2 linked regions of the Macaca mulatta genome follow. The protein of the gene in region 1 purifies or fractionates together with the protein of each later gene. This does not show direct contact. Links are inferred from orthologs where the notes say so. Each region holds a gene or a part of one and is shown on either strand. Other genes may lie near its edges. The genes, in order: EYA2 and ACAD9.

Region 1 (4,483 bases):
ACGGGGTTTCACCTTGTTAGTCAGGGTGGTCTCGATCTCCTGACCTCGTGATCTACCCGCCTCGGCCTCCCAAAGTGCTAGGATTACAGGCGTGAGCCACCGTGCCTGGCCCCTAAGAGAATTTTTGGATAAAGCTTTCCAATCAGGGAGTAAAAATAGCACAAGGGATGAAGACATGGGACATTCCGCTGGGCGTATAAATTGGATTCACCACTCTGAGGAGCGATATGCAAATGGGTTTTACGGTTTTAAACTGGGGGCCCGCAGTCTTTCCTTGGGGTATCACTTCTAGAGAACTCCAGGTATGTGCACCCAAGAAGACCTGCTCCAGTCATTGTGGAATTCATTATCCTAACAACAACGTGGGACCCCTGAGGACTGGACAGGTGAACTGTGACACAGACATACCTGCAGACACCATGCAGCAATGAGAAAGAATAAGCTAGATCTCTGTCATGGCATGGAATGAACACCAAGGTATTTTATTATTAGAGTGAAAAAACATCTTGGAACAAGATGTACATGATCAATAGCGGTCAACAACACATTCACAAAACACATTTGTAAAAACAATACTGTATATTTTAATGAATGTGTGGGTGTTTGTGTTTATAAGCTATTTATCCTATTAATTGTGGATACATCTGGTGGGAGGTAGTGCCCCAATGTGACTCTAATCTTATCTGAAATTTTAAAATGTATTTACAAATGTTTTTAGATGTTATTTGGGCAACCAAAATTTTATTTTAAGAGAGAAAGGGCCATGCAATTCTTATCTCAGCAGAAGGAGGCACAGGTGGACTAGTTGGGATCACCCATTGAGGAATTCCCACTAAGTCTGGATGGCAAATCCCACCTGAAATGCCAACTTCAGGAGAGCAGGAACTTGTCTGTCTGGTTGGACACTGTATCCTCAATGCCTGAGACAGTCCCTGGGTCTAAGAAGGCCCTTAAAGAACAGGAGAAGGGGAAGAAAGATGAAATCAATTAGTGAAGGAGTAGCAGCTTTGCTCTTTGGTGTGCTACGTAAACAGCATCAGTGATTCTAAATCATGGGCAGCCTGACTCAATGAATGAATCAGTGAATGGCTTTAGTGTCACCTGTGTTCCTGATCCATTTATCTGCCTTCTAGCCTTTGCAAAAGAAACTGAATTTGCATTATTTATCTGGGGAGATGGTTCCCAACGCATTGCAACCCTGTCCCACAACTTCTATTCAATGACACCTTCCCCATGTTAAGGGAGACAGGGTAGAGGAGGATGGAGGTGTGGACAGGAGGAGGGATTTGTGATCACACCCTTGTGGCTTGTGGAGTTCTTCCCCAAGGTTGTTGAAGTGACAACAGCTGCTGAATTTCACTGGCTGAACCCACAGCTGATTCCTACTCTAATTTTTCACACTGAACACCTAGGGCGTGATACACCTGTATTAAAACACAAAGGCAGTCTGCAGTCTCGCAGGCAAGGGGCTGCCCACGGCTCCAGGTAGACATCTTCCAGGACTTGTGTGCAGCAGGAGAGAGCGTCTCTTCTCCAGCAGTTCATCTTGGGCCTCCCATTGGCCCCAGGTGGCTCACGTGACCACCATCCTGGAGCCAATCACTATAGACTGAGGAATGGGAGATGCTAATTGCCAGGCTCCGAGCTTGTTAGTAGGGTCAGTCCCAGCCAAGCCACGTGGACTGAGAGTCATGGGGAGACCTAGGGAAATTAAATAACTCACAAACATCTGTAAAAACTGTTCCAGTGACTGGTGTGTGTGAGAGAGGGCCATGGGCCTGTGGAAGCTGCAGGAGGGAAATCACTCACTCAGGGAGAGCCTGGGGAAGTCCTGCCGGAACTGAGGCCTCTGCAGGGTGAGCAGAAGGGACGGGAGTTCCAGGCAACGGGAACAGCATGTGCAAAGGCCCTGTGGCAAGAGGGAGCGTGGAGCAAAAGAAAGGCCAGTGTGCTGGGATCAGACATTGGGTGAGGAGAAGCCAGATCAAGGCTATGTTCCGAAGTCTTCGCTTCATCTTAAGAGCAATGGAAAGCCGTCGGAGGTTATAAGCAAGGATGAGGTGAGGGGGCAGGTTCACATTTATGCTGTCTTTCGCTGCACGGAGAACAAACTGGAGGGAGGCCATGGTGGCCCCAGGGAGGTGGGCAGGGGGACTGCGGTGGTCTTCCTGGGCAGTGAGGGTGGTGGCTTGGACCTGGGTGATGGCCGTGGAGGTGAACTTTATAAGGCCTGGAGATGGATTGGAGGAGAGGGAGAAGTAAGAGTGATCCTGAGCTTTTGGTGTGAGCAACTACCCCCTGAAATGGGGAAGCCAAGCTGGTTTGTGATTCACAGAGGTATTTTGAATGGAAATTGAATGAGGCTGGTGGAGGCTGCCAGAGACGTCCAGGTTTGGGCCACAGCTGCTGTCTGTTCAGAAGCCTGTGATTGAAGTCAGCAGGCTTTGATTTCTCAGCCCGTGAAGGATGCTGGGAGTGGCTCTCTCCAAAGTCCCCTTGGCTGACTGGCCATCTGTCCTCTGCATCTAACAGGCAGGGCCACCGTCCTCAGCCAAGGTAGCTGGTGCACTCACAGGGGTGGGGAAAGGTGAGCAGCCCACCCGCTGGGGACCCTCCATCTGCTTTTGATCCCTCCCAGCCTTTGAAGCTGCCCCTGCCCCCACCCCCCAGCTGTCATCTCTCAGGCTCCCCCACTTCTTCCCAGTCCCCAGGGACAGGGGTGGTGACAATGGTAACAAATGGCACAAGCCGCAGGCAGCAGCAGGCCAAGGAGGCCAGAGGGTGGGGGCGCTTGAATGCCTTTCTTCCCGCTCCTTCAGGCTCTCTTCTGAAGTAGCCGGGCTATCAGGGTTTTGCAACAATGCAACAAAGAAAGAATTTTTTTTTTTTTTTTGTAAATGAATTCCATGCTTTTGCTTCCTTTCCCTTCCCTCCCTTCGTGAAAGGGAAGCTACGTCTTTCTCCTCCCCCAGATTCCGTGAAGGCTGTCTGAGTTCTCTCTTCCTTCCCCTTGCATAGAGAATAAGCTGGTCTCCAATTTCAGGTAATTGTGAGGTGGGGAGAGTGGGGAGAATGTGAAGGAAGCCTTCCCCTCAAATTGCAGGAGAGCTCAACTCTGCCCCTCAAACCACAATAGGAACCAGTGGTTTCCAGGTGATCCTCATGACAGTTTCCAGTGTCTACCTGGAATGAAACGAATAGTGTGTTTCAAGCTTTTGTCTGTGTGAATGCAAATAATCTCGGCTGCCCTTTGTTGAATACCCAATGCCTTCTCTGACTCATTTTCCTCAGAATAACCTGGCGGGGAGGGTAGTATTTACTGCATCTTACAGAACTGAGGCTCAGATAAGTGAAATAACGTGCCCAAGGTTACACCGCTGACAAGGACATAGCTGGGATTTGAACCCCTGGAGCAGATAACAGGTCTGGTGCTCTGACTGGGTAGCTTAGTAGACTTTAGAGCTCGATGGGCCCTGAGTTGAAATTGTGATCCAGAGCTATTTGCAAGCTGTGGTTAAGAGCACAGATCTGGAGCCAGATCACCTGGTTGAGAATCCTGGCCCTACCACTAACTGGCCAGGTCAGTCTCTGAACCTGTCTCCTTATCTCTACCTACTTCATAGGATGAAATGAGCCAGTGCATGCAGAGAGATTTAAACCTCAGAGTAAATGCTCTGTAAGTGTGAGCTGTTTTTATTTCTAGTATCCGTAAACTGAGCAATGTAATCAGGGCCAGGTTAAAACCTTCAGCAGCCTCAAACACCAGAGACTGGCCTCCCTCCTCCGTGGTCTCCTCCAATTCAATAATGAAACAATGTGGTTCATAAGACAAAAAACTCACTGTGTGCTGAGAAGTTTTTTACAGTTTTGTTTAGTTTTTTTTTATTGGTATATAATAGATGGACGGATTCTCAGGGTGCACGTGATCGTTTGATGCATTCATATAATGTGTACAGATCAAAGCAGCATAATTGGGATTTCATCACCTTAAATATGTATCTTTTCTTTATGCTAGCATCATTCAAATTACTCTTTATTCTAGCTATTCGGAATGGATGATAAGCTATTGTTAATTATAGTCACCCTACTGTTCTATTGAACACTAGGTCTTATTCCTTCTAACTGTATATTTGTACCCGTTAATCAACCTCTCTTCATCCTCCCCACCACCCTTCCTGGCCTTTAGTAATCACAATCTACTCTCTATCGTCATGAGATCTACTTTTTTAGCTCCCACATGTGGTTGAGAACATGCCATATTTGTCTTTCTGTCCTTGGCTTATTTCACTTACATAATGACTTCCAGTTCCATCCACGTTGCTGCAAATGACAGGATTTCATTCTTTTCATGGCTGAATAATATTCTACTGAATATGCATACCACATTTTCTTTATCCATTCATCAGTCGGTGGAGTGCGCTGACATTTGAAAAGTTTCTTCTTAGATCCTCATGGCAGAACAGGATAAGTTCACCAAACAGGA
Region 2 (3,811 bases), on another chromosome or scaffold:
GCCTGGACAACACAGCAAGACCTCATCTCTATTAAAAAAAAAAAAAAAAAAAAAAAGGGGCCAGGTACAGTAACTCACATCTGTAATCCTAGCACTTTAGGAGACTGAGGCAGGTAGATTGCCTGAGCTCAGGAGTTCAAGACAAGTCTGGGCAACATGGTGAAACCCCATCTCTACAAAAAATACAAAAATTAGCCGGGTGTGGTGGTGCACGCCTGTAGTCCCAATTACTTGGGAGGCTGAGGCAGGAGAATAACTCGAACCCAGGAGGCAGAGGTTGCAGTGAGCTGAGATGACAGCACTGCATTCCAGTCTGGGTGACAGAGAGAGACTATGTCTCCCACGACAAAAAAAGTGCTTATATGGCTTGGCTTGGCCCCTTAGGTGCTTATGATCTGCTCTAAGAACAAGCCCCCAGATGGACCTGAACCCAACCCACATCCTGAAGCAGGCTGCCAGGCACTGCAGACTGAGACAACTAAAGGCTGAGGACTGTAAGCTGAGCTCTAAGGTGGTAAGGTGGTCTGTCTGTTAGGGCAGCTACAGCAGGGGATGACCAGCAGGTCTTCAAGTGAGCAGCACTCAGCTGTGGGTACAAAGACAAAGCCCATGTGGCATTCTTAGTTTGATCTTTTTAAAATGCTTAACAAAAACTGAAAGTATTTAAATCTCATTTTATCTTGCTATTTGGACAGAGTCAAGGGCCAGTCTCCCCCTTACACACATACACACACACACGCGCACACACACACACACACACGCACACACGAGCTACTTACTGTTGGAGCCCCGAATGCCTAATTTATCTTCAGGTTTCCCATTAGTGACTCCACCAAAGTCTCTTTCTACTATGAATGCTGTGATTTTGTCTTTCACTGATCCATCAGAATCAACTACCTCAGTCTTTGCAAACACAGTAAAAATATTGGCCAGTCCTCCATTGGTAATCCAGACCTGAGGACAGAAAGAAGGACTTTGGAGAAAACCAAACCCCTATGTGACCCATCTCAGCTCTGTCTTTGTTGATCAGTCAGACCTCAGGCCAGACATGCAGGGTCCTTGGCTCTGCAGAAGCCAAACAAGCATGAGTGAACACAGGACAGGGCTCAGCCCAGTTTGCCCACACCAAGGATTTTCCCAAGGGACATGGATGGCCAGGGTGGAGGTGGAGGGGGGAAAGAACATCCAAAGTTGTCAAACAGCTCAGGTTCCACCGCCAGACAACTGCATTTCTTCAAGAAAGAAAGGGTTTAATCATTTCTTAAGGTATACATATATCAAAACATCATGTTGCACATCTAAATACACACAACATTTATTTGTTAATTCTAAAAAGAAATGAAAAAAGAGAAGGCAGGAGGGTGGTGAGGAGGAGGAAAGGAAACAAAGGGAGTTAGAGGCAGAAACAGACTCCTTAACAAACCGCAACAGATGGGACTCATGTGGATCTTAATTCAAGCACATAGTTAAACCAAAAAAAGGTATGAGGCAATCAGGGATATTTGAATGCTGATAGATGTAAGAAATTATCAGCTGGGCACAGTCGCTCATGCCTGTAATCCCAGCACTTTGGGAGGTCGAGGTGGGCAGATAGCTGGAGCCCCAGAGTTTGAGACCAACCTGGGCAACATGGTGAAAATCCATCTCTACCAAAAAAAATACAAAAAAAATTAGCTGCATGCCTGTACTCCCAGCTGCTTGGGAGGCTGAGGTAGGAGAATCACCTTAGCCCAGGAAGTTGAGGCTGCAGTAAGCCAAGATTGTGCCACTGCACTCCAGCCTGGGTGACAGAGCAGGACCCCATCTCAAAAGAAAAGAGAAATTATCAATTTTTAAAATGTGATAAGGATATTACAGCTTTGTTTTTATTTAAAAAAACAAACAAAACTCCTGTCTTTTAGAGAGGCATGCTGTGATTGTTACCATGCGATCTGGAGGTAGCAATGCTGCTGGAAGAGGCACAGTGGCCATGAGCAGGTGACTGCCGGAGTTGGGGCCAGCCAGGCACACAGAACATGTCTGAAATTTTGTGTAACAAAAAATTTAAAGATTTTTCGGGTTTACAGGCCGGGCACGGTGGCTCATGCCTGTAAACCCAGCACTTTGGGAGGCCGAGGTGGGCGGATCACTTGAAGTCAGGAGTTCAAGATCTGCCTGGACAACATGGTGAAACTCCATCTCTACTAAAAATACAAAAATTAGCCAAGAATGGGTAAGCCCAGCTACCAAGGAGGCTGAGGCAGGAGAATCACTTGAACCTGGGAGGCAGAGATTTCAGTGAGCTGAGATCACACCACTGCACTCCAGCCTAGGTGACAGAGACTCCGTCTCAAATTTAAAAAACTAAAAAAAATCAAAAACAAACACATAAAAGCAGCTCAAGAAGGCAGTCAGTGCTACAGCAGCAGGTACAATCCCTGGTGTGTGGAGAGTGCTCACTCAGTGGCAGTGAAGGTCGTGACTGAGATCCTGACGTGGCCATGGGGAAGGAGCCCTACCTTGGAGCCATTGAGGATGTAGTGCTTCTTGTCTTCACTTAGCGTGGCTCTGCTCTGGACTGAGGCTGCATCGCTCCCACTGCAGATGCAGAAAGATGTGGTCAAGGGAGAATACTGGGAATATGAATGCTTTTGAGAGCCTGAAAATGGAGGTTCTAGTACTTTTAAGAGGTCAGCGAACTTTTAAAATGAAGGGTCAGATAACATATTCAGCTTTACAAGCTACAGGATGTCTGTCTCACCTCCTCAACTCTGCTGCTATTAATAGAACATGAGGCCGGGCATGGTGGTTCACGCCTGTAATCCCAGCACTTTGGGAGGCTGAGGCAGGTGGTTCACGAAGTCAAGAGATTGAGACCATCCTGGCCAACATGGTAAAACCCCATCTCAACTAAAAATACGAAAATTAGCTGGGTGTGGTGGTGCATGCCTGTAGTCCCAGCTACTCAGGAGGCTGAGGCAGGAGAATCGCTTGAAGCCAGGAGGCGGAGGCTGCAGTGAGCCGAGATCATATCACTGCACTCCAGCCTGGCAACAGAGCGAGACTACATCTCAAAAAAAAAAAAAAAAAAAAAACATGAACACAGCTGAAGACAATTTATAAAACAATGGGCATGTTCCAATAAAACTGGGCTGGGCATGGCGGTTCATGCCTGTAATCCCAGCACTTTGGGAGGCTTAGGTGGGTAGATCACTTGAAGTCAGGAGTTCGAGGCCAACCTGGCCAACATGGTGAAACCTCATCTCTACTAAAAATACAAAAATTAGCTGGGCATGGTGGCACATGCCTGTAATCCCAGCTACTCGGGAGGCTGAGGGAAGAGAATCACTTGAAGGCGGAGGTTGCAGTGAGATGAGATCGTGCCACTGCACTCCAGCCTGGGTGACACAGCAAGACCCTGTCTCAAAAACAAACAAACAAACAAAACTTATTTATAAAAAACAGGCAGGAGGCTGGATTTAGCCGACCTTTGCTTCAATACATCACGTAAAAAAGCGGCAGTGAAAACAACTTGGGCTTAGGTTTAAACATGGAAATGGGTGCTTGCAATGGGCTCATCTGAGGTCCTGTGAGGATGAGTTGTGGGCACCCCAGGAAGGATGGTTGTTCCCAGGTTCCCACGCACAGTGAAGCAGGATGGAGGATGGTCCAGGTGATGGACTTATCATTGGAGTCCCGAGTCCTGCTGCAGCCCTGCTCCATCCAGCAGATCACACAGCCTCAATGAACCTCAGCTCCTAATGTGTAAGCAGGAACAGTACCACCCATGCTACATATTCTGAAAGGTGCTTTGAAGCCTGAACGTTATTAC

What was found.
Region 2: the proteins of EYA2 (region 1) and ACAD9 purify together in Homo sapiens (affinity purification with mass spectrometry; 3 studies listed by BioGRID and IntAct, with this or other methods). This does not show direct contact. The link is inferred for Macaca mulatta from reciprocal best matches to the Homo sapiens genes EYA2 and ACAD9.

What each region holds. Positions count from the first base shown.
Region 1 is NC_133415.1:99,778,732-99,783,214, forward strand, and holds the start of EYA2 (protein phosphatase EYA2), read left to right. Parts: upstream 1-1,597; 5' UTR 1,598-2,055; coding exon 2,056-2,060; intron 2,061-4,483. UniProt on the Homo sapiens protein: Functions both as protein phosphatase and as transcriptional coactivator for SIX1, and probably also for SIX2, SIX4 and SIX5.
Region 2 is NC_133407.1:155,070,760-155,074,570, forward strand, and holds part of ACAD9 (complex I assembly factor ACAD9, mitochondrial), read right to left. Parts: intron 2,578-3,811; coding exon 2,499-2,577; intron 955-2,498; coding exon 780-954; intron 1-779. UniProt on the Homo sapiens protein: As part of the MCIA complex, primarily participates in the assembly of the mitochondrial complex I and therefore plays a role in oxidative phosphorylation.